3 linked regions of the Drosophila melanogaster genome follow. Changing the gene in region 3 together with the main gene of any one other region gives a genetic interaction. Each region holds a gene or a part of one and is shown on either strand. Other genes may lie near its edges.

Evidence for each region.
Region 1: of Mmp2 (region 3) and Oamb, changing one suppresses a phenotype caused by changing the other (phenotypic suppression), as found in Drosophila melanogaster (one study listed by BioGRID).
Region 2: of Mmp2 (region 3) and Gyc76C, changing one suppresses a phenotype caused by changing the other (phenotypic suppression), as found in Drosophila melanogaster (one study listed by BioGRID).

The regions. Positions count from the first base shown.
Region 1 is NT_033777.3:20,707,939-20,718,811, forward strand, and holds the start of Oamb (octopamine receptor in mushroom bodies), read right to left. Parts: upstream 6,640-10,873; 5' UTR 6,542-6,639; intron 5,813-6,541; 5' UTR 5,381-5,812; intron 1-5,380. UniProt on the Drosophila melanogaster protein: Receptor for octopamine (OA) which is a neurotransmitter, neurohormone and neuromodulator in invertebrates. Stimulates intracellular accumulation of cAMP and Ca(2+) following ligand binding. Required for ovulation.
Region 2 is NT_037436.4:19,788,220-19,799,071, forward strand, and holds the start of Gyc76C (guanylyl cyclase at 76C), read right to left. Parts: upstream 5,351-10,852; 5' UTR 5,209-5,350; intron 3,392-5,208; exon of another isoform or gene 3,229-3,391; intron 2,823-3,228; exon of another isoform or gene 2,665-2,822; intron 2,036-2,664; 5' UTR 1,745-2,035; intron 1-1,744. Other genes in the region: SREBP (sterol regulatory element binding protein), read left to right, coding at 6,691-8,173, 8,234-9,039, 9,109-9,500, 9,561-9,687, 9,914-10,081, 10,155-10,520. UniProt on the Drosophila melanogaster protein: Guanylate cyclase involved in the production of the second messenger cGMP.
Region 3 is NT_033778.4:9,676,977-9,687,456, reverse strand, and holds the start of Mmp2 (matrix metalloproteinase 2), read left to right. Parts: upstream 1-3,598; 5' UTR 3,599-4,524; coding exon 4,525-4,674; intron 4,675-10,480. UniProt on the Drosophila melanogaster protein: Has metalloproteinase activity. Proteolytically cleaves the PGRP-LC receptor; involved in gut-fat body innate immunological communication (GFIC)-mediated activation of the imd/Relish signal transduction pathway.

The sequences.
Region 1 (10,873 bases), on a different chromosome or scaffold from region 3:
AAACTAATTAGTCGACTGACGAAAATGTCGGAAAAAATGGCTTACCAGCAAATAGACATGAAAGGGTTAATTTAGTGCTTATAGAGCGAAATGGATTTGTGTGCGGAGCATAAATAAAGGGGATTCCCTGAAGTAAAGGTGGAAAATAAATCCCATTAGCCTGGGTAAACACCAGCCAAACCAAGCATAAATAAATCACCTAAAGACTTATTAAAGACGAATTTAATATGGCCAGACCTTAGAATTAACCAGTAATAATGGTAATGATTGTCTAGCTCGATAACGATGCCCTAGATGGTAGCCAGGAAAAGGCAAATAAAGCACAAAGCAAAGCAAAAACCACCATTTACATACGTCATCTAGTTGAGTTGACCAAGTTTGTTGTGTTGCCAAGTGCGACAAGGCGAAATCACTCGAGTGCAAAGAGATTGAGATTCAGGGCCACTTAAGTGTCATTACATTTGCCTTCGCCTCGCGTTTCCTTTTTGTCAAAAGTCATTTGTTTGTTTGTTTTCCTCACTTTGGCTATTTATTGTACTGCTGCTAAGGTGAAAGTGGAAATACAACAACCGAAACCTGGAATGGGATTTTCTTTATGCCAGCGACATGTTTACTTTATGCTAAGTTTGTTCTTGTTAAATAGGATTATTCCAAACACAGCGGGAGTATTTACTTACACATTTATTTTTGGCGGCCAAAGTCAATGAATAACATCAGCGCAGTAAAGACATTTTCAGGTGTAATAAAAAAGAATATTACTTCTTAACTTGTATTAACAAACGATTGGGTTAATTTGAAAAATATCGCTGAAGAATGCGCTATCATCCCAAATACATTTAAGAAGTATTTTCAAAGTGAACGAGAATTGAAAAATAATATAAAGCATTTACAATCCAATTTTAGTTTCTTCTGGGTTATTGTTTCGAGAAAATATTTAAAAGATTTCAGTAGCACGTTTTTGTTTGAGTAGTTAATGGCGTTCCTGCTCATTGCCGTCCTAAATGTACACAAACCCACCCACACCCATGAAAGCTCGTCTAACAAAAGGTTTTATGTGCCATGCACAACGAAATATAAAAATTTAGACTAAGCCAAACCCTGCTTTTCCCACTTTCCATGTGCAGACCCAATCCTCATCCACAAACCCATCTACATTCTACAATCCCATACCCATTCCCCAACTAGCATGTCAGCCGTTGTCTTGTCTTGCCTTTACATACAAAATTTACTGTGAAAATGCTTTGGGCACTTTGGTTCTCTGTTTGCACACACTCTCGCTGGAATCGTCCTAGTCCGCCACCAGGACCTTCCACACACATATGTACATACATGTGTGTGCATGCAACTTTCCTTTCAAGCCTGGCTGTCTATGTCGCATTATGTTCGTCGGTCGGTTCTGCACATTTGTATTTTAGTTTCGCGCAGCTTTGCGTTTTTTATGAGCGAAATAATTTGTGTTTCTGTTTTATGCTGTCATAAAAGAACGGCCCTGTTGCAGTAAAAAAGGGCTGGAAACTGTGTGCGAATGGATCTAAGGCCCGAATCTATCCACATTTCGCCACGCATGATCAATTAACTAATGAATGCCAGTGAGCTGAATGCATGAACAGCTGCAGGAATTCATTGAGTGGTGGCATGAACGCTCGACTTTTGTCAACACGCACGTAATTGCACACACAAAAGCACACAAAATGCTGCCCCAAAGGCAAGCTGCAAATTAGATTAATTACACAGCCACCACACACACCCAGGAAATCAAATCGGTTTTCAATAGCATTCAGTTCGATTCAACTTGGCGGGGTCAGAGCTCAGAGCTCAGAGCTGAGAAATCGAGCGGTGTTCAATCGGATGAGAGACTATTTCATCTGCCATTTGACATCGAACAAATATATATTGCTGTCTGCCAAACTATGAGTTGTTGCCAATTCGGACTGCCAATCAACATGACAAAACAATTGAAATCAAATCCATAAATTGCTTTGTCAGCACAGAACGCAGAATATAAAAATGAGTTTTATTTTGCATTCGATTGCATTCGATTGCGATGCAATCGCGAATGCGACTTTATCTACGATATGGTTCGAGAGTTGCTGGGCGTTGGAATCCCAAACATGGCTCGTGTCTGGCACTTTGCATGATTCTCGAATGGAATTGGGCCCATTCAGAGTCGTGGAGGTGTGCAATTAATTCAAAAGTGTCTGGCAAAGAAAGTTGCAGTCATTAATTAGCTTTTTAAAATAAACCCATAGACTCTCGCTTTTTAGTTCATTTGGCACGTTTCGGTCGAAAAGGAGAACAAAAAAGAAAATGGCAACTAGAAGAGCCCAAGGACCTGGAGTAAAGCTCATTTCCGTTTTATATTTAAACACTCGAGGGCTAAAATGTTTGCTCTACTATTTCCACGCAGTGCAAAATCAGCATAAAAGGCAGGGAATGAAAAAATAAATAGCCCTGGCCCCAGAGAGTGCCCTCTTCGGTCGATGGACCATGGAACTCGGAGGTGGGAAACGCTTAGCAAGTGGATTTTTAAATTAGTTTGTCGACTCGACGACGACGACGAGGCATCCTACTTCTGCAGATAAAAGCCAAGTCGGTGACTTCAGGCTTGCCAAGTTGGATGGAAGGTCCTTTTTTCGTAAATGGACTTGGCGCGCTTTCGGCGTCGACTCCTTCTTGCTTATTTAAATGAATTAGGTGATTTTTCAAGAGCTAAGCTCGCCACGAGCAGTGAACTCATTTCCGGCCAGTGGCTATTGGCCCTTCATGCTTCATTTGGCCCCCACTTTGTGGCTGCATTGCAATGAGTTGTTAATTTGCAGGCCACTGCGTGCCAATCAAAACTTTTACTAGATCTGACCCTGGGAATTCTTATTGCTACCCACCTAAGCAACAATAATCGTCTTAGGAAAAGCCAAAAAAACACTCTTCGAGCGCGATGCATTGAAAAAGTGCTCCCTGAGTGTTAAGTACATTAAACAGATACGTACTCTGCATGTATAAGGCTCAATTTTTGGCAGAATCAGGGTCGACATGCCGCATACGCAATATCGTGCGTTTGCCGCAGTTTTCTTGTCGCCCGTCTGTTCCTACATGTGCCCCATTACGCATACGACGCGTGAGCCAGGCGGCAGGTAGTGAGGTGAGAAATTCGCAATAAAGCTGCAAAGTGGCACGAAGAAGCACACGCTTAAATAAGTGCGAGTCGAGGATTGAAAGTGAAAGGGTACCTCCTGCACATTTCGCCTCGTTTTATTGCCGGGTTATTGTTATTTAATGCCAAGTTTAATGCCAACACACACACACACACAGAAAGTGGAAGCAAGCACCTAAAACAATCTCATGCCCGCCCCATTAATATATTTCAACTGGTTTGGTTTGTTTTATATTATTTTGTTTTGCTTTACTTCCAAGTACGTGTGGGCTTCCCCTGCATTTCGGGCCGAGTGGCAAGTCATTTGCTTCGCTGGTTGCACAATTCTATGTTGACGCTCTTTTGTGTTCGACTTGGCCAAAGAATCTCAGGTTTCGGTGGCTTATGCACGTAGCTTGCCATTGTTGTGCCCGCTGGACAAGGAAGCAATTTGAATGCCTTTACAGAGCGCTGCACAAAGCACAGAATTATGTTTACGTCCAGCTCGGCTGCCACTTGGGGCAGAGCTCTCACTTCAAATTTCCCAGTTCCCAGTTCGCACTGCTTCCTGTTTCCAGCTCCCTGTGCTTGGCCAGGCGTGAAGATTTCCATAGCTGGACACACGGGCACTGTTTTAGAAGTGCTTTCAATACCATGGTCAAAATGGGAATGTCCATAGAGTTTTTAGCGTACCATTTTTCGAAACAAATGAATAAATGATTTTTTAGTTATCAATGGAGCTTTTAATAATAATACTTTTATGAGAAATTCCATTATAAAATAATATTTTCGTTTTACTTAATTAATAATTTATTTTAGACATAAAATATACTGCTTTAATGCAACGTACTTTTCTATTTATCTGCAACATGGCCCAAGAATTTGTTTTAAGTGTACTCTGATAGTAAAATGGAACAAGATGGTGAGCTAATGCGTTTTATCTGCTCAAAAGGACGTAGCTCTATAAAGTAATGAGAGACTCACGATGAAATGCATACAACAATAAAAATGTTGTATTTTAAAGTATCTTTATTTCAAAACGCTTATACTTAGGCTTACTATCAGTTAAAGCGACGGGTTTGGGAAAGCTGGCTAATTAATGCCTCCGAGTCGTGACTTTAGCCGCATATAGGGATGTCTGAGTGGCATTAAATAAAAGTCGGGCTGACTGGAATTTCACACTTAAAGTTGAAATAAATGGGGATCCATTTGAAAACCTAATTTATTACTACATTTCCCAGCCGTTCGGCTGGCAACCCATCCTTCCGTCGGCCAGTCTGTCCGTGTTATTGGGCCGGGCTGTCCATTGTGACCCTGTCAAAACAACTTCCATTGTTTGCCCCCATTTCACCTGTCAACTGGCCTTTGTGTCTGCTAAGCTTCACACTTGGTGGGGGAAAACTCGGAAGATGGGCGAAGGAACTCTTGCCGAGTGGTAGATGGGTCGCACTTTGGTTTCCATTGTCAACAAGCCAGCCAATTTAGTTAATTAGGCTACCGAAAGTGAATAAACAAAATCTGTAACCAAAGGCGGTCAACAGCCACGTGCTAAGCCCTGTGCAAAAAAAAAAATAAAAATAAAAACAAAATAAAAAAGCGAAATAAAATAAAACCGCAAAAATGCACAAAACACTTGACGAATTTTTTCGTTTTGCTTCGTAATTTGTATGCCGCGCGCCTTTTCCCCCCAAACTAATTGCGTCGTCGCCTTCGGAGATGTTGATATGGGTTTGTAATTAACTGAGACTATGGATTTATGGCCAGTACTGTTTGGCACTAATACCCATTCTCATTGCCCAAACATTGCTTTGGGGTTTCTGCTGGTACCGATTCATTATTTGGGTGCAAATATCTCGAATACAACTTGTAGATCCCCTGATCAGCAAACAAAATGAACATATGCAAGCATAAGAAATGCATTAATATAATGAGTTGCGCTGTTATAATAAATCAATTTTAACGCCTTAAAGCTTCTAATCTATTAATAGAGTTTTTTTGTCCACTACTAAGTAAGTATTATTTTATAAAATAGGAGAAGCTACTGGTATAGTAAAAAGTCTATGACTGAATATATATTTGAACAGGTTAATGATAGTTTTATTACCAAATGGTTTTAAAATATAATTTTGTATTGCCTCAAATATTGTAGTTGAAATAAATGATTTTCAGAGATTTGAATTAAATATTCAAACTTACAATATCTACAATTAGTTGAACTTCGAAAAGTGTCATAAACTCGAGCAGACTCACCTGCATAAATCATCGCGATGTCGATGGCGGTTGTGATCTGAGTTTTCTGGGCGAGATTAGCGAGAGCCCGTCACCGAATCGCTTGGAAAATCGGTCAAGTTTTTGTTTGTTGCTGGTTTTCCGATGCACTTGCTGGCGTTAACCGGCTCACCAGATAGCTATATATTTTCAAAAGCTATTGCTATATCGACTTGTTGCCCCGGGTCTCGTGTGCTCTCGCTCTCTTTGGCCAATTAATTGGTTGTCATGCGTTGAATAATTGCACGCATTTTGCCTAAAATCTCCATACTCAGCATTTGGTTTTCGATATTCACTACTCAGTTTTGCAGTGCTTAAGTTTTAAGTGTTTAGTTTTCAGTGCTTGGTGGTTTGTTGATCTTTTCGATTGGGCGTGACTAGGCCGGGTTTTGTGAAATTAATAGTTTGTTTGCGCTAGAATTTGATTGAAATATGTTTTATTTGTTAATTGCATGGATTGGCAACGGCAACATTGCACTGGCAATTTATGGCAAACCAATTATTTGCTGTCATTACTCAAGCAGAGCAGACACAAAGGCGAAGGAAATGCAGTTCTGATCTGCTGACTGACATCATCTATAAACAGAAATATTTATTTTTGCATATATGCTAATGTCACAGCGGGACAATTATGAAAATTGCACTTTGTCAATGCTATGTTTGTTTCGGCGACAGCAAGGAAAATTGTTTGCTAATGAGCGAAATTACGAAATGGAACGAAAGCGAGCGATTTGATTAGGCGAAACTAGCACGGCGCTGAAGAAAACCCCATTAAATCACATAAGACACATTCACACTCGTCTCACACTCGCGAATTCATTATGAATGCACTCACTCGCTCGTCGCGCTTATTGCGAATTTTAATATTTCGGTTTTTTGGCCAAAAGGCACGTAGCTGCCTCGAGCTTTAGTTTTGGTTATCAATCAGCTGTAATTATAACTTCAATATATGGCTAACATCCTTTTGCTTCGATCGAGGACTCAACAGGAACTGAGTTCGCAAAATGGTGCAAAACAGCTGTTGTTCGCGATCACGAGCACTCGGACTCGCACTCGGCGCTTCGGCAACTCACACACACGCACAAGGGCACACACCCACACAGCGCACCCTTACACTAACACCCACGCAACACTGTTAGCTACCGTTATGTGCCGTCGGCAAGAACCGTTAGTTCTGGCCAGTTTTCTCCGCTCGTTCGAATTGGCACGACCGACGCGGCAGAATTTTCAACACGAACTGAATTTTCAGCGCGAACTGTGCGTTCGAAATTGTTCGTTCCGGAACGAATGGAAAGATGGAAACGTTGGAGATTGGAACATTAAAACTTGAAACAGCAGGAAGAGAAACAGCGCTCGGTAGAAAAGCAGAATTTGTTGAACAGCGCGCAACAGTCGCTTGGAAATAAAATCGCATGCGATATTTGCTGTAAGAGCCAAGACGTCTGATTAATTATAATCCCTTGATTCTCCTAATCTGCATTCGCCTGCAGCCAGTTTGAAATTCCCTTTGATTTGCGACGCTTTCTGGCTTGTTAACCTTTCGGCCAGACAAACAGCCAGTTGGCCATGGCAAATAAAAGAAGCCACGCATAATAAATTGGTAAATTCGGAGCAGTCAAAAGGATGGCTGGACTGCTAGAAAAAAAGGACACACACTTGCCCCTTTTTTGATGGGCATCCGCTCAGCCTTATTCTGATTGTACCATCCGCTGATATTTCTAGCAATTTCATTTTACGACAAAGTTGGTCGACTTCAATTTGCCCAATTTTCCATTAGAGCTGCGAGGTATTTTTTGTATTTTTTTTTTACGATTTTTCGCCAAGTATTTGGCTTACAATCCCGCCATGACCAATACTCTATTCAAAACTCATTATGAAGCTCCATTGAAATCTTGAAAGCTGAGTAAGTGGCGGGCACTTGCCATGAAAGAGCTGTTGCGGTCATTATTCACTTGATTTCTGACCGTTTAATCGACTCACATTCCAACTTTTATCTTACTGACCTTTTGGCCCCGTTTAGTCTAGCCCAGTAATAATGATAAATGAAAAGAGAACGCCTCGGGCTCATCCCCAAAACTCCTGCCAACCTCCACTGGCATGTGTGTGTTTGTATCGTCTCTAATTAGGATAAACAGATGTTGCCCAAAAATTAATTACACATCACGAGCACTGAACAGCCGCCTAGTTTCCTTTCCCAACTGCTCATTAGTCCTTGGGACTCGTGATCAATATGACCGCCATCATAGTAATTATATCCTTTCGCTGTCTTTCTGCTACAACTACTGTATCTATATCCTGCTTCCATTTCCTGGCGGTCTGCAAATCTCACTTGGCGAGAAACACAGATGCCTTGCAGCACGTTTAACTTGGATTTGCATAACTAGATGAACAGATGAATTCACAGGACCTCGTTATTTTCTGCTTTTTCTGTTCTCGCGGAGATTCCACTTTCTTACCTCCATGACTAAAATTTAAACCATGAATAGATAGAGAAAACACAATGATTTCTGCGGCAGAATCTGTTGTTATTTTTAGCCCTTCAGGATCCTGCATTTGGCTCGGGATTTTTCAGGAATTCCGGTTGGGTCTGCAACGCATTTCATTCTTCAACCAAATCGGATTTGCAAAATTTCCATCGTCTGGCCAGATAAAAGATGCGAAATCAATTTGCAGGCAGAATCGAACAAAGGAATGGGCTGACGTGGCCCTATGTGAAAGCTGGAAGCCCGGGTATCCCGCAGCTTTCAGAGTTCCTCACTGGGAAGTGCCCGAAACTAAGCTCCGGCGTCAGATTGCGCCTTCTGTCAGTCAAAGGCAAACACCTGTAATAAATATTCGTTTGTTGTCTTTCGTTCGCTTCGCTCGCTCGGTTATCCTGGATTTCTCCTGGCGCTGCGCTGTCACAGATACATTTTGTCTGCTTTTCCGTGTGAGCGCACAAGGCAACGGCGGAAAGAGCCGGAAAAGAATGCCTAGCTGGTAAGTTTTTATACATTTTCAGTTGAGTTCAGTTCAGTTCAGTTTAGCCGGCTCTGCCCAGCCGCCCCTTGAATTTTTATGCGGGCCATAAAGAAAAAGCTGTAGGAACGATGCTAACAGCCTGGCCCAAGCACTTGACGAGGATGCTGGCGTTGGCTGGTTGGTTCAGTGGCCACTTTCGGGCTCCCGCACTCCAGAAGCAATTCACTCAGCCATTTATGTCCGCACAAGTTGCCTCAATACGCAGCCATAAATGCACGGAGCGCAGCTTCTGTTGCTTCTGATGCACTTAATTTAAGCCAAGAGCACAAGGATGCACCAAGTGTTACATTTTGCGCCCAGCTGAGCGCACAGCGGGTGTTATTAATTGCGTAATTTGTTTATTAATACACAAGTGCACATGCGGCACCAGCACCTGCTGGTGTTTAAGGATTCACCCGTCCGCTGGCCAAAGTCTGGGGCTTCAACCCATTCGGAGAAAATTGCCTTTCCTCATTGCTTATTCAGGCAATCAGGAGATGTTTGCCCTTCTCTCCAGCCCATCGTGTAATCAAATTAAATCTCAACTGCATAAACTTTGCGGGGAACTGTTTGACTTACAATTAAATTGTACTCCGCCCTTAAAGGCGGCATAAATCAATTTTTATATGCCAGCTCCGCGCCCTCCGTCTTGATTTCTAGTCCTGGTTGCCTGGCTGTTAATTGCACACACAGAGAGTTCTAATGGCAAACACGAGCTAGAGTTTTTAGTCGGCAAAGGCGGAGATGTTATTAAATTATAATTACCAGCGTCTTATTAGCACAATTAGTGGCGGGGGGGGGGGGGTGGGGTTTCAAAACCACAGGACGTATTTTCCAGGACAAAGGACATATTTTCCAGCTTGTCTGGCCTGGAAGACTGCGTCGGTTAGGTTCACTGCTCGATGACAGACAGAAGACAGACTGTCACATGGAAACCAGACGAGATGTGTCAGGACATAAAACCAATCAATCAATGATCTATTTCAAGACAATATTCAACTCGTTTGCGGCGCGATGCTATTACAAATAGCCAAGCAAATGGATTTATTGCCGCCGCAACAAACGCAAATGGAGAAAGGCATTCTGCATACCGCACTACTTAATCAAAGTCAATGCATAAAATGAATGCATAAACAACTCGGGCATATCTCCAGCATCGTGGCAGTGGGAGCTGCCCATATTGCGCATACGTCACGTGCGCCCCGAGTTGCATGCGTAATATTGCCTAGCTGCTGGATCGACTCCTGCATTGCCCACGGCACATCGATGATTACCATACTAAGTTGGTCGCTGAACACACCTGCATCCTGCGTTTTCCATTCCGCATCCTGCTACCTGCAGGTGGCAGCACTCACTTAACACTCCCACACGTCTGAGCACTATCATCGCGGCACAGGATTCAATTGCAGCCGCTGCCTGATGCAAACGCAACAGCAGTCTCGAAACCAACAAGAGTTTTTAAAGAAAAATGCTCCTAGTAGCGGAGTGTTTGTCGTTTGGACTTATTCATACCCTATCTGAAAACTGATTCATAAACCAAGTTGTATGGTCACTACAAACTATTATAATGCTATATACTTGATAACATGATTTAAGAACCTTACTTAATTCTTCAAATTCCACAGAGAACGAGATAATGTACTATATAAGCAATGTATAAAATATTTCAGAATCTTAACTGAAAATACATTTTTATCATGCCTCATTCAAATATCCCTGAAAATACCCCTCAGCTGGCGTATAACTCGTTGAGTGCATTAGATGAATATTAAAAGCACTCGCCAGCAGCAGCACTTGAAACTTAAAAGTGAACGGCAAGCGGACAGGTCCTTGTCCAGGACCTGCACTCGCCAATAACATCAACGTCGAGCAGCAGCATCATGGTGCGTTGCATAATTTATTGTTATGCAATCAATCGGGGCAGCTACGTTGAGAAGGCAACAAATGGAGCCTGCTTTTCCACCACTCACTCAGCCTGGCCGAGTGACTCTGATGGACTCGCCCGAAAGGCCATAAATTAAACATATTTGTTAGCGTATAATCCATGTAATCAAATTACGTTTGCACAACCTGTTTGCACGTATTCTGTGGCTTCTGTGGCCAGGTATGTTGGATTCCGACAAGACCAACCAAACAGTTCCTGGCTAATTTGTGCTGCGTAATTTCCATTTTCATTTTCATTTCCATTTCCCCCCGCCCGAGTGTGGCTCATAATCTGCAGATGAGAATGCGAACAATGCCGCATTAAGTGGCAGTGTCAGCGAAACGGCCTGGTTAACCTGCCATCGCCAAACGGAGCCACAATGTCGGTCAACTAGAGACCACCCGAGAGAGCTGCCCAGCTCTGGTTTTGATTGCCCGTTCAAAACCTCAACGGGCATAATTTCATCGCCTGCCGCATACAGAGCTGAAATGGCGATGTTTATATTTTAAGGACATTTTCGTCCTTCTCGGCACCTGTTGCTACATCCGCCG
Region 2 (10,852 bases), on a different chromosome or scaffold from region 3:
GAAATGCAATTTTTATTTCGAATTTTAACCTTCCAGTTTTCGTAGCTTTGCAATTATGTTTTCCGCCCAATTATTAGCTTAATTCTATTTCAAAACTTTCGTGTATGCCCCGAAGTACATGAAAGCTAATCGCAAGCAAATTGTTTGTTTCAGAGTTTCTGAAAACGATTCTATATTTAAGGTAAAAGTTTAGGGCTGTGTGCGAAAAGCAACCAGAAAAAGACTAAACAAACGCCTCTTAAAATATTTTTTTGTCGGTTTGGTTTTCTTTTTTTGCGGATGCGACGTCGGCCGCGAAGGAAATTATGGGAATAAATGAGAGTGAGAAAATTTGGCAAAAAAAACCGAACTGAATTGTTTATCTAACGAAATTTAGGAATATTTAAATTCGGGCCAAAAAGAATTTTAGGTATATCAGCTTAAAATAATACTTATTACTGAATATCGCTTCAAGGAATCTATTTAAATTAAATGGCTACATTATACTACAGCTAGTATCAGTATAAATCAAATAAAACACTAGTAGCATTCAAATCAAAATTCAATATTTTCCTTTAAGGTTAGTTGTACCTACATTGCGAATTATCTAGGATAAATGGGAAAAAAACAGAAAACACCTGTTCAATCTGAATGGTGGATGACGACGGCTTGGTTGGCTTTGAAGCCAGAAATAGGGAGTCGAACATGTTTATTACTTAATATTTTGCAAGCAAACACCATGGAAATGGGGGAAACATTTGTATTTCTTCGTAAATGTTGACACAGAACAGATACTCAAAAAAAATACGATTCAACGTGCAAGTTGTGGGCATTCTGCGTTTCTGCCAGTTGCCAAAAATAATATGCTGTAAGGTCTCGAGGAAGCTGTCAATTACGACCCACCCACCACCCCACTAGCGCATACACTCCTGTGCAAATAGCGAGCGCCTTCCTATAAATACACAATCTTTATTAATAGAACGCTTTCAGAGATCGAACATTTCAATTTCATTAGCAAACCGAGAATAATGTAAACAAACGAAACACCCAAAAAATGCAGTACGTTCAAGATTTGATTTTTTCTCAATTTCAATTTTTCTTTTCCACACCATAAAAATTTAGTTCGACCAGAAAACGCAAATGAAATTGTTTAGAAAAGACTCCCCGAAGGCTATGTATGTACGTAGAGGCCTGGGGGAAAACGCCTGAAGCCACATCAGCAATTTGAGCACTTCCCCACCGACTTTTAACAGAACAACGATGGGAAAAGCCAACTTGTTGCGGTTCATTGCCGGCATTTTGGTGGCCAACTTTTATCGAACTCTCTCATTCGTTAGGGGTATGGGAAAAGCAGGAAAATTGCGGGAAAATCTGAAGGGGAGCTTGGGTCCCAGCTGAGGTAACCCAAGAGTTTCGGTTTCAATGCAAGTGGCTTTCCCACTGACACCACACACGCATCGGGGTAATTATTTAAATCGGAAATAGCTCGCATTACGGATTACCAAAAAGTATTGGTTTTTGGCAAATAAATTGAAAGCAAAACTGCCGGAGATTAAGTAAACTTTTTCAGCGGTAACCAAAAAATATGATCATGTGATCATTTTAAAACAAAATGTGTAACTATTTTAGTTGTGTTTCTAGTGGTTTCGAAATTTATTTAACAACTATATACACATGTATATGTATGCATATACATATTTACTGGTCATTTCAGTTCCGCGAGATCGTTATAATCTTTCTTGACAAAGATATGAGGCTAACTTACAGGTTGACTGCTCGTTTTGTCATCAGCTTTTGCCAGAGATCGTTCTTCCCTCTCTTTTCTGCCTGCTCATCCGATGTTTTCGCTTCGGATGCCTCCCACGTTGGCGTTTGGATTTACAGTTAGATAAAGTTTTTTGTTTTTCACGATCACGGCGTTTTCCTTTCTATTCTCCTGTTTTTTGTTGGATTTTTGTGCAGTGTTTATTTTTCTAATTGGCTTGCTTTTTGGTTGTTTAACGATTGTTCACTTTGTGCTTTTTGTTATTCCGGTTGCTATTTACTCGCGTTCTCTCTTCGGATGGGAAATATTGTGGTTAATATACATTTAAATTTCGCGTTGTTTTTGTTGTGTTTGCATATGGGCAGAGAGCTAGTGGGAGAGAGTGAATAACTAACTAATGTTTGTAGCGGTAAATTTCACAACAATGCACGCTTAAAGAGCAATCAAAAAGAAGAGAGAAATGCATTGTATTGGGTTCTGGTTCTTAAAGCGCAAAGAGCGAACAAGATTACTGCGAAGAATCTGGAAGAACAATCGAATGCCGAACTGTTCAAATTCTAAGTGTTTGAGTATTATTTTCGGAATTTATAGTCAAATAAGCAAGTTAATATGACAAGGTTCGAGTGTCCAAAATTACACCGCTGTATCAGTAGAGTGGCTTATCAGGGAAACAAAACAAATCTGTTATCTTTGCACTGCTCTCCCTCTCGCTGACTGGCCCGAAAAACAATTATCACAAATTCCAGTTTTCGTTATTTTTTCGATTTTTTCCCCGTATTGTTGTAAAATTTATGGCGCTGCGGCTGCGAACACTCTTGTTAACACATTTGTCGGAATTTGTTTTTCATTCAATAATAATTATTAACACAAACCGCACTGGATTTTATTCGAAATTCTATTCGGCTTTTTACTTTTTTCACCTTTTTCGCACTCTTTGGGTTTTGTTTTTGCCCCAATCCAATCAGAGAAATATATATATTAAACATACATATGTATGCATAATATCTTTTTCTGTGAGTGCGTATGTGTGTGTGCGAGAGTGCGATGGGGCGCACGCGGCTTTGCCGATCCGAAAAAACAACTTGGGGCGCAGGAGAATAGAATAATACTGAAAGCCCCAAACGAAAATCGGGCGAGCGACACCGCATGCTCCCAGAGATGGCACTTTGGCTTTTTTCACTGTGTTAAGGTAGGCATATGAGGACGCTTTATCAAACAATTTTAGTTTCGCTCAGTGTAGGATATCCGAAAGATATCCATCAAGATATATTATCAACACTTTTTTAAAATTTTTAAAACTAGGTTTAAATGGATTAAAAGATAAATAGTCAAATTATATTGAGCAGATACATTTTGGAAAAACATAGTCCTCATTTAAAAATTGCACGATAAAAGGTATAACTAAGTACTATACTAAGAAAAGTAGCGTTGACTGCCACACACTTAGCGGTTTTTGCTATCCGCCAAAGATTTGCTCCTCTCACTTGCCATCACTGATTTCCGTGCTCTCGGAGATGATATGAGAACAGTAATTGACGCTGCCGCTGCGGATCAACATGTGTGTGCTGTAAGAGAGCGGGAGAGCGAAATCAGTTCTCTCGTTCTCCCGCTCGCACACATTCATGCAATGGGCATCTGCAGCGAATTCTATTTTTAAACTTAAATTAATATTGTTCTTTATTTTATCAGCAGCGGCGCGAAAATAAAGCAGGCAGCGTCGGCGTTCGAAGGCGGCTGCTGTGAGGGAGAGGCAACGGGAGCGGCGGCGGAGAGCAGAAAACAAATAAATAACACGAGAAAAACTAGACGCTGCTACTGCTAATCAGGCAGAGAAAAGATATCACTGTCTCCTTCTGTCTCCATCCCTTTCCCACTCTATGCCGCTCTATCGGGTGTGCGAAAAGCGAAGCTCAAATGCTGTCGCAGTGCTAGTGCTCTGTCTCGCTTCGGCTCTCTCCATCTTCTTTGCCCGCTATCACCGCTTGATAAGAAATGCGTTAATCTTTATTAAGCGCTGCCGCTGCTAGTGTGTGCGTGTGTATTGGTGTGTATTCCGCTGAGCTCGTGCGTGTGTGCGTTTGCGGAGTATTTACATGGGAGTTTTTCATTTTCTGCTGACAATTTCCGTTGGAAACTTTTCGCCAAGGAGGTGCTAACACTAGCAAAACTGGCAAAGTCCAAACGGAAAATGTAATTTATGCAGAAAGCCGGAGAAACAGAAGCACAGAGAGTATGAGAACAGTCAGAAGAAGAAATAGAAAAATCGGACCAAATCTACAACAACAGCTTGTTGGATGACTCAATATTGCAGTGAAATAAAGGCTCTTTTGTATCAAGGAAAATAGGAAATGATTAATACAGGAATATTTCCAAGTTGCAAGACAGTTGGTAAATAACAGAGTCATAATCACAGCGTTCGGTAATATATTTAGTTTAACATTAGGTTAAACTAATTTTAGTTATTTTATATTTAGTTTAACATTAGGTTAAACTAATTTATTGAATAAATAAAGTCTGTATATTTGGATTTGAAGCATATCCATATATTACCGAGAATAATAAAATTATGCTGCATCATACATACAATCGGATTTATAAAGATTTTGATAAGCTAAGGTGAAGTAGAAATATAAAAAATAGGATTTAGTAGTGAAATAGTCCTCTTAAGATACTTTTCCTGATGACCGTTGGTTGAATGTTTTCAGTTTAATTTAAATAATAGGCATTTGATATAAATAAGCTTCGTCTATATTGAAAACAATACACCTACACTTAAGGCAACCAAATTTGCAGTTAGTATTTCCAATTGGCGACCGTAAAGGTAAACAAAAATGTAAACTGTTGCAGACAGCAAATGCGGTAAATCGCAAAAATCGTAAATAAATCCTAAGATTGTGCCAAAATAAAACCGTTTTAAAGGTTATTCATAGTAGCAAGTGCAAGTTTGTCGGTCGAAAATGGCAACCCTGGCGAGACAGAGCGAACAAGTGTGAGCAAGAGCATCAGAGAGAGGGCAGAGGAGATCAGTTGTTGTGATAATGCAACGGGTGAAGAAAACAAATGCAAAAAGTTTCTGCGTGTGAGCGCGAAAGTGCGTGAGCGGCGGTCCAAACAAAAACAAAAGCGCGAAGCAAAAATGGTTTTCTTTTTGTTTCAGTTTATGTTCCTATTGTTGTTGGTTGGTAGGTTTTTTTGCTTTTCCAACGACGTGACAAGTGCAAAGAGCGCCAAATTGTACATTTTTATGCATGGGCCGCCAGTGCATTGTGAAACTTTTCCGACTTTGCCTTTATGGCTGTGCATTTGTTTTATCACTGCAGCACTTTTGCCATTGCGATCGTGTGGGTGCCGCTACTTTGTGTGTGTGCATTTGTGTCTGCGTTTTCGAAAGAGCAATTCAGAACGCAATTAACACTGACGGCGCCCATGCTGGTTATCAATTAAATCACATATTCACTTTGTACCATTTTACTAAAAACGAATAAAGAACCTCATCATGTTGCTCTTTCCAAACGGTTATTTCGAATTTACCGCTTCTCTGGCTCCGCGATTCGTCCGCGTTTCCCGTTTTCCGTCGCGACTACCTACCCGATTTTGAATATGTGATGTAGCAGTGTGGCCAGTGCGTTGTGCCAATTTACCGGAACTTTTTGTCTTCAACATTCCTTGGTATTTTTAAGTAATTCTAGCGCGGTCACACGGCTCTGGCGCTCTCTTAATTATTCTCTTGAATGTAGGTAGCGGTGACATCCACCACGCTCAGCGAGGACAACCGCATATTTTAAATTACACTTATACATGTTGAATTTATTTCCTTACTCTGCGTGTCAGAATCAGCGTTGATATTTTATGGCAGTTTTATAAAATACATCATAAACTATTAAATATATATATTTCTATACAGGCATTGTAAGTAATACAGCTGTTTCTTGATGCCAGGGAGTCAAGACCTGAACCAGTTCCTTAGGCCCGAACTACTGCTCGTCATCCCTGAAGAACAAAGTTTACTGCAATCGAAAGCAATTGTTTATTAAGCTGCAAATATACTCGTGAAAAAAATCAAAACAACCATGAACAACAAGTGTTGCAACTATTACTAACTAGTCGCTAGTTTAAAGCAAAGTGCGTTGACATTAACCAGTTATGGAAAAACAAAAGCACACGTGAACTAAGAAAACAGATAGAAGGTGGTAAAGGTGCGTTTCTTTTTCTGCTAATAATGTAGATAGTGTCTAATAGATTAATTTTCGCGGAAATCAGATCGGGAAACCAGTGGAGCCTGGGAAAATGCCCTGTTGGAGCTCCCAAAGGCCAAGTGGCGTCACTAAAAACATCGTATGATCCGGTCGAGCCCTCTGATTGGTTGAAAGCGCTTACGCATGCTTTCCCGGTCGCGTATGTGTGTGTGCAGTGCACAGTGGGCCAAAAGCGAAGTAAAAGCTTAGACCGTTTAAAAATATTCGCCTCTATTGCAATTTGCATTAGTCTAGCAAAACTTGATATAGCCAAAATGATCTCAAGATATTATATTTTGTTCCTATTTTAACTACGAGCAAACAACAAACAAACAAAAACAAGTTAACACATATGCCATTTTCAGGTCCGACTGTGATTCACTTTAGGTTTGAGTACAATTAAAAGATTTATTTTAACTTTGTTACGTATATTACAAATTTAATTATAAAAACCCCTTTTAATCTGTTATTAAAGCTGCAAGTGGCCACTGTGGAAAAAGGGTAATTAAATGAATTAATGTGATTATAAACATATTAATATTTGTTTTTTCCGGCACCAACATACTTGTCCCACTGTTGTTATTGCGCCGCATAGAACTTTAATAAACAATCCTCAAATGTACAAACATACATACATAAATATGCACATACGTGGGCCCGCCAGTATTTAATTACGAACCGTTTTTGTCCCTTTCATCAGCAGCATTCGCAATGGACACGACACTGATGAACTTAATAGACGCTCCGCTGGACGAGTCCATGGATTTGTTCAAAGCGGAGGATGTCTTCGAACCGTTCGACGCCGACCTGCACTCGGACATGCTGGACATCATCCTCAACGACATGGACCTGGCGCCGACGCAGATGTACAACATGCTGCTGGACGAGCCTCGAACGCATACCCAGCAGACGCAGTCCGTGGATCAGCAGCCGCAATCCGTCGAGCAACAGCCGCACGTGAAAAGCGAGCACTCTTCGCCAGTGCACATCAAGGAGGAACTGCATCAGCAGCAACAACAGTCGCCGCTTCTCGTCTACAAACCAGATCCCCTCATAGCCACAAGCTACAATTGTCCCCAGCAACAGCCGACGGGCCTTTTGAAGGCCGCCCAACCAACAGCCACCATACATCACATGGACGCCCAGCGGATGCCGCCGAACACGGCGGTGTATCCCCCATCTCTGGGCAGTAGCTTTGTCTACCAGTCCATGTCCCCGCCCACGTCGCCGGTGGAGTCTGCGAACCAGAATGTCAATGTCATGCAGCCCGTTGCTGCAACTCCTGCTCCCGCTTCTGCTCCTTTGCCCCAGCAGTCGTATCCGCAACCCTTCATTACGTACAACTCTAAGGCCGGAATGACTTCCGATGAAGCCATGTACTTCCTCTTGCAGCCCACGGTAGCCAGTCCAACCCCATCTCCACCTGTGGCTCCACCACCGACAAGCACAGGTAGTCGGGCCAGCAAGGTGCGAGTGGCACCACTGGCTCCGTCACCTGCCGCTATGGAAGTCCAGGGCAAGGTACCTATCAACCGGGTTCAACCCAAGGTGAAGGAAGTAAAGCGCTCGGCCCACAACGCCATCGAGCGGCGCTATCGCACCTCAATCAACGACAAGATTAACGAGTTGAAGAACTTGGTAGTGGGAGAGCAGGCCAAGCTGAACAAGTCCGCAGTGTTGCGGAAATCCATAGACAAGATTCGGGATCTGCAACGCCAGAATCACGATCTGAAGGCAGAGTTGCAGCGCCTGCAGAGGGAGCTAATGGCACGCGACGGCTCCAAGGTGAAGGATTTACTTCAGCTGGGCACTCGGCCTGGTAGAGCATCCAAGAAGCGCCGCGAGAGCTCGCAGACCTTTACCACGGATGCCGGACTGACGCCGCCACGCAGCGATGAATCGGATCCTTCGCTCTCGCCCATGCACTCGGACATCTCGTTGCCGCCATCACCCTATGGTGGATCCACCGCCAGCTGTAGCAGTGGCAGCAGCAGCAGCAATGAAGAACCACTGGTGGTGCCCAGCTCTATGCGCGGCATGGCCACCCACTCTCGCCTCGGACTCTGCATGTTTATGTTCGCCATCCTGGCCGTCAATCCCTTCAAGACCTTTCTCCAGCGCGGCCACTATGACAGTAATGACGATCTTGGCGACATGAGCGGTCAAAGACGCATTCTCTCTTACGACGTGGAAGGTAGCTAGCCTAGCATCCAGATGTTGTTAAATATTGCTAATGGGTTTCTCCTTGATTTAGGTGAAGGTTTTGCTGTCTGGCAGCAGAGTTCCTGGATATGGCTATTGAACTTCACACTGATGCTTGGATGCTTGGTGAAATTGCTGGTTTACGGTGATCCGCAGCTGGACGCGCAAACGGACGCCTACTGCCAGCACAGGCAGCGGGCTGACTTCTATTTTAGCCAAGGACAGTCGTCTCAGGCCTACGCCGGTTACCTCAACTGTCTGCATATGTTTGGATTAAGTCTACCGGCGTCGCGCTTGGAGTGTTACTTGCAGACCACGTGGCAGTTCCTTCGTTTTCTTTTCCATCGCCTCTGGCTGGGTCGGGTGCTGTCACGGCGGTCCGGTGGGCTGTTTAGCAACGCCGCCAGCAGGAAACAGGCGCTGGCATCTGCACGCGAACTGGCCCTGCTCTTCAACCGACTGAATCAATTGCAACTGACTGGAAATGGAAGCCGCGGTGACATGAACGGCATTATGATGGCACTATTCGCAAGCAACATGGCTGAAGTGGCGCACAATCTACTGACACCGCGCGAGACCATCTGCATCCACGTAATGACAGCGTTGCGAATGAAGCGCAGTGCCCCAAAATGGTTGCAACAGCTCTTCGCCCGATACTACATGAGCCGGGCTCGTCAAGAGTGCGGTCTCACTAGGGCCACCGAGCAAACGCAGGAGCTACGTTGGGCATTCACAGCCTATGGATATCGCTACTGCGCCACGCACGTCTTCACGTACGATCTGAGCGACTCCGGCGAGCAGGATGGATTCTTCACACGTCTTAGGAATCCATGTGATCCCGCTGCCCACGTCATTAAGGTAAGTTGGACTGAATTTCTAGTGTATCGCACACAATTCAAAACTAATTGTTTCTTTTCCAATAATCAGCAATATCGAGAGCATTTGCTGTTTAAAGCCATTCAGTGTCTGGTAGGAGCGGGCCACAAATCGGGAGGCCTGCCCACATCTTCTGTCAGCGGAGAGGCGGAACAGTTGCAGCAACAGCAGCACAGCGGCACCATTGTCAGCAATGTTCTTAAGTACACGTCCCTCCTTAAGGACACTCTCTGGGCTGATGAGGATGAGCGGGATACAAACGTGGTGTGGTGGGCCGATGTTTTGGAGACCGCAGTGCACTGGCTCCTTGGTGAAGACACGCTGGCCGAGCAATTGTACGGCAGGATCAAGCAAATGCCCACGCAGCTGCAACAGTGCGGCGAAAACGATCATCTGCCCAAGGCGCTGCATGCTGTGCTGCGAGCTAAGATGATCTTACTAAAGTGAGTAAAACTAGAACAACTAATGAAAAGAACAAAACTAATCATCGCACACCTTTGCAGAAACAATGGCAACGCACTGGACAAAAGTCTCAAGCAATTGGTAAACATCCTCTGCGATGAGTCGAGTGTGGAGCTCCAAGAGTGCTTGACTGTCAACCGGATCACCGACGCCAAGGGTATAAAGCTGGTAAGAATGTGTGCACCCCGAACAATCAGTTTTTGGCGACTGAGTGCCACCAGACTCTTCCTCTGGAGATGACACGAAGGTGCATTGTAGTCGCATTGTCTGTCCCAATTGCTTCAGGCAATACAACTTCAGTGCAAGCTCTGTGCATTTCACATACAACGCCGAATGTCTCTGGCAAAAGTCGCCAAGTTTTAAGAGCGCACTAATCATTATTTCTTCTATGCAGCTTTTCCAGTTGCTTACCTGCGATTGGCTGCTCGAAACTAGGACTGCTCTGTGGGAACTGGAACACATGAATATGGAGGACGATGGCTTCTACCAAGTGCCAGGTGAAGTGCTCGAGAAGTTCCAGACCGATTTGAACTCGTTGCGCAACATTGTGGAGAATATACCGGTATATGCAAATCCTTACCCTTCCAATATGTCTGTTCCGTAACCTGAGCTTGTGTAAACTTTTGCCATTACAGAACGCCCAATCGCGCATATATTTGTACGAGGCAGTTTGTCGCCTGATGGCTGGAGCCTCACCGTGTCCAACGCAACAGCTCTTGGACAGGAGTCTGCGATCACGCAACGCCCACTCGTCCATCTTCTGCGGCAGCAAGGATCGGCGGCAGCAGAACTTCGTGGGCGGAGAGCGGGAACGGGCTTCGGCCATGTACGTGGCCTGCAAGTATCTCCCGCCTGCGCTGCTCAGCTCCCCGGGTGAACGTGCTGGCATGTTAGCCGAGGCGGCCAAGACCCTGGAGAAGGTGGGCGACAAGCGAAAGCTCAAGGAGTGCTACCAGCTGATGAAGTCGCTGGGCAACGGCATTGGCAGCGTGAAGGCTTAGGATAGTAGTGAAGTACATAATAAGTGGCACGAACGTGGTGTGGATTTTCAGCAAATGAATACCCGTTTGCTATTCAAAAGAATTACAAATGCCTAGGTCTTTATAATTACGCTATTCCTCTGTTTTCCACGCCCGGTTATGCTTAGATTGTAATTTTAAAATTATTTAATATGGACATTTTATTTGTTTATTATTTACCGTACTTGTTAAACGTATTTATAACAATAAATATTTTAACAGATTTACAAGGCCTTTTATTGGTTACCGGTGCATGCTCCTAATTTGTTAAATATGTACATAATTCATGGAAAACGTATTAGTAGCGTATGCAA
Region 3 (10,480 bases):
ATTAGTTTCTCAAAAATGAACAGACAATTTTGTTTTATGAAAAGAGTAATCCAAATATTATTCCATATTATTCATTTCGTTCTATTGGTTTTGTTAAGCTGGACTTCTGAATCACTGAAATGTAAAGACTTACATGTACATTTTTCGATCGTACATTCATATGTGCATTACGTACATATGTGCCCATTAAAATGCTTTCTTTGTTGCGACTGCGTATTTTGCGTGATTCGCGGGGATGAGCCCATAGATTTAAATCTCCCCGCTCTTACGTATAGAGTGCGTCAGCTTTTGGTACGAACATCTGCCTAGCGCCAAAAAAAACCAGAGGCTGTTGACTCACGGGAAAAAGAGTGTCACTGGGGAGCTCTTCTGTCGTCTTTTTTTTGTTTTTTTTTTTTTTTTTTTTGTGAACCACTCATCCATGACCGCTTTCAGGTGTAAAAAAAGAAGAGTTTCAGAACAATACTCGTAAATTGTACACCGAATTTCGCTCTTATCTCGACTGCTCATCAAGCTAAAAGCTCGTTGTTAAATTCCCAAAATTTGTTAAATTTGGGATAGGGCATAAAGACTGCGAGCAGCGGCGTCCTAAAATGAAAATCTTTTGTTTGATGCCCAATACAACCTGTTGGCAAATGCGCAAAGTATGCCATTTTTTGGCTTTCCGGTTGACAGCTTGGCATATTTTTATTCAAATCGGATACGGAATTTTAATATGCACTTGTTTCTATATTAATTGCTTGTTTTCTCTTGCCATTGACTGAATGCATTCAATAAATATCCGCTTGGCCGTGTGACACTTTCAGAGCGATAATGAGCCAAACTCCAAAAGTGATTAATGGACCTGCTAAATGGAAATCACTCCCAGATGGACACATCAAGGCGAGACGAGAGCAATGCACGTGTCCAGGGAAAGCGGAGAATCGCATGCACTGGATGCATATTTTAATTAATTACTCGGACACATTTACATCTGCCTGCGGATGGGGATGGGGGAAGGTCAAATGGGCTGGCATTTCCTGCCCACTTGGCCATAAGTCGCATTCCGGTGTGCGTCACTCTGAGAAAGTTTGGGGCTGTGTAAAACACAATTAGTAATTGCTTTGATTTCCTGCCTGCGGAGGAGCGTGTTCGATTTCGCACGTTTGAGAAATGGTAGTATGTAAATCGCATGTCCGACCAGTGGCGCACTTCCATATTAGAGCAGCCGAGCCGATACACCTCAAATTGAGTCATTGTTCAATGGCATACGCCACTCACTCCTGGATACATTGAAAACAACGGTTGTATATAGAGTGTTAAGGTAAGTTCTTAAAAAGCATACAGTTAACAACTGCATTTTGGCCAGCCTTGAAATAAGCAATTACATTTTTCAATTATACAGGTAACATTTTCATTTATTGATTTGATTTGAAGTATAACATTAAGTTTCCAGTGTAGTTACAGGAACTCCATTCATTTGTAGGCACGCTTGTAAATAAATAAGTGTCGCCATATCGGCCAGACGTTCATGCCACCACCCACACAGCGAAGATACCCATACCCATACCCATATTCGTAGTCGTACGAAGTCCATAATGAATATGTCACGAACTTGCACCCGCTGATCTTAAATCGGCGACTGTTTCGATACTCCCGACCAGCTCAAGGGGTATGGAAGTACTTAAGCTAACGATAAAGATACGGCTATCAGCAGTTGTAGCGAAAGCCAGTAAACAAGAAAGATAGTGCAATGATGCAGTGAATCATTGAAGAGTTACTAACCTCTCGGAACGCTCACACCGAGCCGCACTATCTTGTGTTTCCTTCCGCTGGAAGCTTCCGATAACTGCTTTCTCGCTCCTGACCATGGGTCTGCCTTTTCTATCAAAACTACCATTGAGTAATAGGTGTAACAACATCGAACTGATAAGACGATTTTATATATATTGATGTCGCAACTTCGAAAATTACTCACCTTTCGATGGCCCGACCATGTATCATCAGTAATTTTGTCATTTGTACTTTATTTGGGTCAGCCGCAGATCAAAAATCGGTTTTGCATTCAATTTCGTGGCCAATTAGCACTTGAACCCAAGACCTCAGTCTAAGTTCAGAAATTGCCGGCAAGTTGTTTCGGATATCTGTGTGTACATACAGTGGTGCACGCCACTAAACGATCATGTTTCGAAATGAAATACATTTGAATGTGATAATACCAAAATATGATTTTACTATCTCTTACCCCGTGGGGGTTATATATTTATGATAAACTTGCATTTATCGCAGAACATATACATTTTCAAAACAATCATTTATAGATTTTATAGCATTTCGACTCATCAAGGGACTAGATCTACTGCGGTTCTAGATTGGCTATGATTAAGTGACAGTAAATTGAGTTTAAGTGGACATTGATATTGGATATATCAAGGCTGCTTATGCAAGAGCATTATCAATGACTATTTGGGATTTCCAAAAGATTGTGAATGGAAAAAGATAATCATCCTTTCGAATACTACGTTGAGTAACCGGCAGCGGCTAACATTCGTATTTTGATTCATTCAAAAATATAACCGGCTTGGTGAATAATACTCTGCAGTATATGATAACAAGTACCCAAGAATATATGGGCTTTTTTTTTTTTGATCTGGGTTTTTTATTTTCGAGGGTGTGGGTGTATTCATACTTATTCATAAATATTAGAAATCAAATGTAGCTAACTCATATCGATTCATTATTTTTTAGATTTTAGTTTCCTTTTTCATGGAACTACTCGATCAATCAATATTTAACGCCATCTGCCTTGTGTTTATTGTGCAATAGGCAAATGTCCCAACTTGGCGGAAACGTGTTAGACTGACACTTTTTAGGTAGCCAAAATCGAAGAGTATAAAGTAGCCAAAAAATATTAATATCGAAGAGCAGAGAGAAATATTAATATACACTTAAGAAAAGAACCTACCCAAAGTCACACAGACCAACATAATTTGAAATATTTGAAGCTATTATACTATTTAAAAAAAATTTTGTTTATTATTGTTTTACAATAAAATACCAAAAATCAAATCATAAGAGTATATGGTATAAAATTATAATGAATGTAGCAATAATTTATATACTGCTACCGATTTAAGTTTAAATTAAATTAAATTAATTAAATTACTTTTTTATGAGTCAAATATAATAACAAAGTGGAAAATACATAAATGTCTTTGACCACGGTGTTTGTACTTTCAGTTTTAATATAATTCTTTCATATGTAAAAAGGAAATTTTAAATACATTGGATTTCAGATCTCTAAATAAAAAACTATACAAATACGGATGAACAAAGTTATAGGCTCAGAATTTAAAAAGATTATTACGAAAAAAAAAATGTTTTTTGCTGCCTAATTTAAAATAATTTTTTAAAATCCTTTAGAGCCTCTTGGAATTCGTGCTTTTTCTTTCTGTGCCCCCTTAAGAGCGTGAGACAAGAGCGAGTTTCTTCTACTCTTACGTATTTTCATAAATCAACCGCGATCGCTGGCATATCCGCCCAAATGAAGAGAAGCTACTCTGTATTTTTGTGCTCTTTGTGCCCGCCTCTTCAAGTCGCTTCACGTCGAGGCAAGTCAGCAGTTCAGTCACATTTAGACATCCGCGCGGTAAACCCGCTTTCGGCGGTATAACGAGATTTTTTATTTCGAATTCGACAGAAACAAATAAATGTAAAAAGGAGAAATTGAGATTTATGCTTGCACAAAACACGCGAATAAAAGAGCACCGCCCACTTCTAGCGTTTTCTTTTGTGGGGTGAACAAAGCGACGTAACGGTTGACAGGAATCGGGTAACGCGAATCGGGAATCGGTGTTGGTATCGGGCATATACTAAAAAACGGATGAACAAGGAAAGTCTTTCCTTTGTGCAGCCACTGCGTGCTAATTAATTGTGTTTTTGTGGCCAAGTGGCATTCTATAGTGTGCATTCTATACACACCAAATTTAAATTCTATCCAGCCCAACCCAACTCAACGCCCCCAGCTCCTTGTTTTCCCACCATTCGTATGCGTCATATGTAAAAGAGCGCAAAAGGGCGGAAGGCACAGAGAGAAAGGAAAGCCAAGGAAAGAAGCAGTGGCCACAACAAAGCGGCAAGCACAAAACGCCAGAACAAGAAGCGCCAAACGGAAAAACGGGAATACCCCCGCCCAATCCCCACCGCTCCCCGCCACAACCCATCGCTCCTTCCGTTGTTTTTGTTGCTGCTGCAGCTGTATTTATGCTGCCGGGTATTCGTGTGAGTGCCGCCAATGCGCATGTGTGTCTGTGTCAACCCCCGCGGCCGAGGCGACAACAATAGCAAAAACAACAACAGCAGCGAAACTAAAACAAAAGTGAAAAGTTCAATTCCCAGCTTAGCACTACGAATTGTTAGTCCACCACATCGGTTAATTAAGCCTCGAACATAGAATAAAGATAAATACACAGTTTTGTTCCTACTGATCGAGGAATAGTTTCGTGTCCAAGTGTTTTCGTTGCGCGAGCGAAAGAGAGCGGCGAAATGTTTTCCAAATATGTTCTCGCCACCCTGCTCGCACTCTTTGCGCAATCCATGTGCATCCAGGAGCTGTCCCTCCCACCCGAAGGATCTCACTCCACCGCTGCGACCAGGTCCAAGAAGGCAAAAACCGCTATCTCCGAGGATATAATGGTAAGGCTCCAAATTTGAAAACTTCGATTTTTCCGAACCCAGCTTTTTTAAGCTCTATAAGATGATATATCGTATCGATCAAGTTAGTAAATTTGGGTGTTTATACAAAGTGCATCGACTGAAATGAAAATAATTCCCCAAAATAAAACGCAATGCAATCAATCATCCTACATATATCTGATGGTAAATGCTTAAGCACTGTTTGACCCAATTGCCATTTCAATAAAAATTCATCAATAATTGACATTTGAATCCCTAGAGCTGTTGGAAATCGCACAATGTTTGCAATAAAAATTGTAAAAGCAATTATTGAATGTGACATAAATAATTAAACAATGTAAATAGGAAGTTAAAGAGCAAGAAGGTAAATTAGAAAGGGGACAAAGGAAAACAAAATTAGCCTACAGTAGGCGCATTTTCATTCCGGCGGCTCAGATACTCAATCCGTATCTCCGCATTTGGTAGCAGACAGTAAATCGAGAGGCGGGTTAAGTACAATCGAGATAGACGGATCTGAAGGCCCCCAGCACACATATCCCCCCCTCCCCCTCACTCCACGATGCAGATGCTGCTGTGGCTGCTCGAGCCTATGACCTCAAAATCCCAAAATGCTCTACATATGCATAGACAGCACGAGACGTAGTTATATATCTAACTGTAAGTTAGGAAGGTATAATTTACTTTTAAATATTTGCATGTTGTGTGCTTAGTAGATTAATCTGTTTCCGTAAAATGTTTAAACAAAGGTCCAGTATCAACCTGTGTTAAGTAACTTCAAAAACAACTTGATTGGCATTTCTGGAAACCGTGATATAAGCGAAATGGTAAAGGATGATGACTTATAATACATGGAAAAAAAGAGATTCCAAGTTTCTCATTAACTTCTGATTTTTATTACGCGGAAGAATACACCAGTATGCAACTCACTTCACTGAACGAACGAAGTCCGCCTTACTCGTTCGAAACGCACTGTACATGTGTGTGCATACAGACGCCACGAGATGAGGGCCCCCAGTAGTCTCGGGTATGGCCACTGCAGTTCGTAGTGCACAATGCACGCTTATTGTTTGGGGGCATGCGTCCTATGGCTCTTAATGCATTTGTGGGTCTGCCTCCATCTTTACCCCCAGCCCCCTCCACCCACAACCCTTACTACATCGCCGCTGCCCATGTGGAGCCCTGGCCACTAGGACATTTCCTCGCGAATTTCTGCAGTTAATGAGAGCGGGCGCATTTTTTTTAATCAGAATAACAAAATATGAGCAATTTACCCATTATGCTCGCCTTTTGTTTTTGTTGCTCGTGTGCCAAGGAGTCGCGGTGGCATTCTTTAAGGCGCGCCAGGACATTGAACCCGCGCCACTGACTCACCAGCTCCAGACATGCGTGCCGGCCAGGATGAACTATTAATGTACAGCCAGCCATTGATGCGATTCTCCTCGTGTGGCTGGGCCAAATCTTGGCGTTTATTAAAGTTCGAAAGCCGTAATTAAAGTTCTGAAGCGTTTGCGGAAAATATAAGAACTGGAACTAAGTAGGACGCACATAAGCTCTGTACCACAGATGGTAGGCACCGAAGATTGTATGGATTTTCTCATGAATGTATAAACAACAGAGCTCTAAAATCGCATGCTGCAATAAATGTTCATGCTGAAAATATATGTCGAATATTATTTTAGAATTTCTAGTGGGATCCTTGGATTCTACTAAATTTTTAAATAATATAATATAAATATTATATTACCTATAGTTTGAATACTCCTAGAGTAATGAATAAGATTGAGAGAGTATCCCTGAAACAGTACTTGGGTCGAGGTCTTGAACGACTTGCATATTGTTTATTTAGTAAGGATACCGCTTCCCAGCTGCCCGTTGGATGAGCGAACATATGCCATATAGAGATAGGTATATGCATATGCATATATGGAGCACTATATATAGCTGCGATATGAGAGGAACTAAAAAGAAAAGAACCGAACGAGCGGACAAGTCGGCGAGTTAAGTTGAGTTGAGTTGAATCTTTACTGGGTTGAGTTCGCCTGAGTGTCGCCAGCTAGGCGATGCCATGAAGTCGGTTCAATAAACGTACTCGTACACCCGTACACACACACACACTCTCCGGATGGCTCGCATACACTCACGCATTCACGCTTATGAGTGGCGTGTAATCAAATAAATGATGGAAATGGAGCCAAGACGAAGTGCAAGATGCCGTACACGGAGAGAAAATGCAGGTCAATATGGTTGTTGATTATTGATTATCCCAGGTGTAAAACAATATCAAACCCAATTGGCTAAAGCAGTAATTAAGCAAAATAACTAATTATGATAATTCAGTTCAGGGATAATGTAGCTAGCGGGATCACAAATACCTTGTTTAGAGCTTAACATCACATGTCAAAGAATATCAATTCCGTTTATGAGTAAATTCATCTGACATCTAAATAATTATTTTAAAATGTTTATATTTGATATTAATAAAAGTCTTGCTGCTTATAAGGACTTAAGGAACAATATAACGAGATACTGAAGGACCCGATTTTTCCAAGTGCTTTCAGTCGACTTGTTCTTAGGGTGGCGAGTTGTAAGCCCTTAGATAGCAGAAAGGACGGTGGGCGGCGGGTGGCAGGGTCACGGCACGGCGCTGCTCCGCGGTTGCATGCCCCAACGGAAGTAGTCCGGAAAATGTACATACATACACATATAGAAAGTGAAGTGAAGTTAACTTATCTGCTGGCGCACAACCACACACATTTGCATGTCGCCATGCAGTAGCGTACATACATATACATATATGTACATAAATGTGGATATATCTGTCTGAGGGAAAGGAGGGCCTGCCAAGATGTATGTGCAAGTTGCCGCTGCCACTGCCACTGCCACTGGGGCAGGGACAAAAGGAAGGGAATGACGAGTGAGCAAACTGTTGCTATTTTCTTTGGAGTTTCGCAAAATTCTAATTGGTGCAACTATGGAAGGAAGGGTTGTCATCCGCAGACTTTGGGGACTTTCCACTTTCGTGTTTGTATTTGTAATTGCTATTTGCGGCCGAGGTCTTTCTGCCACTCAAGGGTAGTTTTCCAATGAGTTCAGCGAAGGAAAGCACAATGAAATTTTGGTCAGTGACAAGAACAGGTGTTTCCTGTTCTTCATAGGAAATGAAAGTGATCGAAACATTTCCATGATTCATTTTGAATGCGTGAAAGAACTCTTTAAATTTTTCGAATATTTCCGACGACTGGCAACTGACAAAACATACAATTTATTATATTTTTATACTATGCCTTTAAATAATTTCTTCTCGACTCGATAATTACTTGATAACCCTTTAGCAGATTTCTTCAGCAAAAAACCCATGTTGAGTGTAATTCTGCTTGATAAATCGCATCGCCCAAGTCAAGTTGGAATATGTTGAAAATTGTATGATTAACGAAGGCTTTTCCAGATATGGAATATGTGCAGTGAGAATCGGAGACTGTATCTTCCCCAGAATCCCTGCAAATAATGCACAATCCTTATTTATGTAGCCATTTAAGGCAATTCACACAGTGCATTTATACGCTTTATTACTCATTTTTAATTGATCCATTGTCAGACCCACCAAATTCCTCATTTTCGGAATGCAATTAACGCAGTTGCAGCTGATGGAAGTCATTCTGAGCATTTTCGTTGATTGTTTTACGGCTTCCTGGTAGGAGAGCCAGTCGCCAGCTCGAAATTTATACCCACCCCGATCGGTGGCATTACTTTTATGACACACTCAAGAAGTAAAGGAAAGGGCACCCCCAAGTCTCTGACGAAAACAAAAAAAAAAAAACGGCCTCTTAATAGGCTTATGACAATTCTTGAAGCGCCAGTTGAGTGCATCGAGCGGTAACAGTCATATAGTATATGTATCCGTATGTATATAGCCGTAGCCAGATCGGATCGAATAATTTTTAAATGCCAACTCCATACGCGATAATCGGACGCAGGAACAACGAGGGAGTGAATCGAGTCAGATCCAACTTGGAACAGATTAAATTTGCCGCTATTAATTAACTGTCGACGATCAAGCACATTAAGTCAAGTCAAAGCTGCTGATTCAGTGCTGTTTCAAAAGCCGGGGAAAAAAAACAGGGTGGAATTTTAATAAATTGAGCTCCACATTAATGATATTATCAATTACAATAACAGATATTTCCGCTCGAATCGTCGACACGACGCCGTGACGTTTCTCTCGAATAAATTAACATTTTTGTAAGGTAATTTGTCAGTGAATGAGTGCGACCCACTGACAAATGCTGCTTGACACCTGTAAAATGCGTTAATGAGACCTGCCCGGCTACTTAGAAAGTTAAATGCAATGATTTGAGTGTAGGAAATCCCTGATCCCGTATTAAGTCAGTGACTAACAGCTTTATACGATTCTTGTGCGTCATGGGAATTTTAAATTACTAGGGCCAATTAAGAGAAGAGGTATGATAGGTCTACAAAAACAAGGTATCAATCTTATCTAAAAAAATTAAATCAAAGAAATATTATCTGTTTTATACCATTTTTTTCGAACCCTAGTTTTTAATTAGCCTCATTTTTCGTAGAAAAGCCAATTTTCCACCGACTTTAGGCGACAAAAATGTAATCCTGTGTGAAGTAAAAGGGCTGAGCTCACTGGCGCCCCCTGCTGGCCAGTCATGCAACGCGGGCGTTCATTTACCTGGCTAAAAAGCTTTTATTAAATTTCGCTTTCAATACATAATGCTGGTGGGAGATGCAGTCGCTGCGGGATGCGGGTTTTCTATTTAGTTTTTTAATTGTGTCACGTAGGGACCTATAGAAAAATGCAGCTGCCTTTCTGGCATTGCTTGCTAGCAGCCCAGAAAAAGGTATGTAAAATAAACTACATCCGATACGTGTTTGTGTGGGCGCTCTGCAACTAAACACGCATTGAAATGCAAGGAGCGGAAAAATTTTCGAGCCGAGCACAAGAACAAATAATGCCCAATTTGCATTGGTAAAAGAGCGGAATACAAAAATCCCGTTAGTACCAAACGGTAGTTTATGTGCTAAAAAATATATACATATATGTGGAAAAAGGAAAATAAGGGAAGGGGATTTGATCGAGAACATGACATCCAGTTTCTTTACAACAGGATCAACTTATGTATTTTTCATTAATAAATAAAAATTTGAAATCTTGTGAAGAAATATACGGGTCCATGATCTTCAGAAGCTTAATACGTAAAATACATATGCTAGAAAGTACGTAATGGCTAGGATCCGTTTCCGGCCTTTAATATAAGTGTATATGTTCCGGATCAGGATTACGAACTATCAGTTTCAAGTAACATTTAACATTTGAAGGATATTAAAAAATAAGGATCTTATAACGCACAATGGACTAAAGACTTCGGATATTTATGAGAAATATATGTAGCCGCCGATAGGTGGCGGCTCTTGTAAGCAGTCTAAGTAGGCAACTAAAATATCTCCATCCCCCTCGCACTCCCATTAGCTGAGGAACTCGACCATTCATTATCTTTTGATTTTAATTGCGATCTCAGAAATGCCATCTTCCTTGCAATTACACGGCGTCGAAATGAAAACGTGCTCGCTTAAGCTAATGTATACAAAGGCGGGTAAATAGGAAGCATTACGGTTTTTATACGTTTGAATTATATACTTAATTAATCTGTACTGAAAACACAAAAAAGCGCATCGAAAAGAAAACACTCAGCTGGGCGATAAGCCTGCAAGCAGAACATCATGTACAGTAGCCCGCCGATCTCAATTGTTGTTGTCGTATTTATTAATTTAATGTGCCATT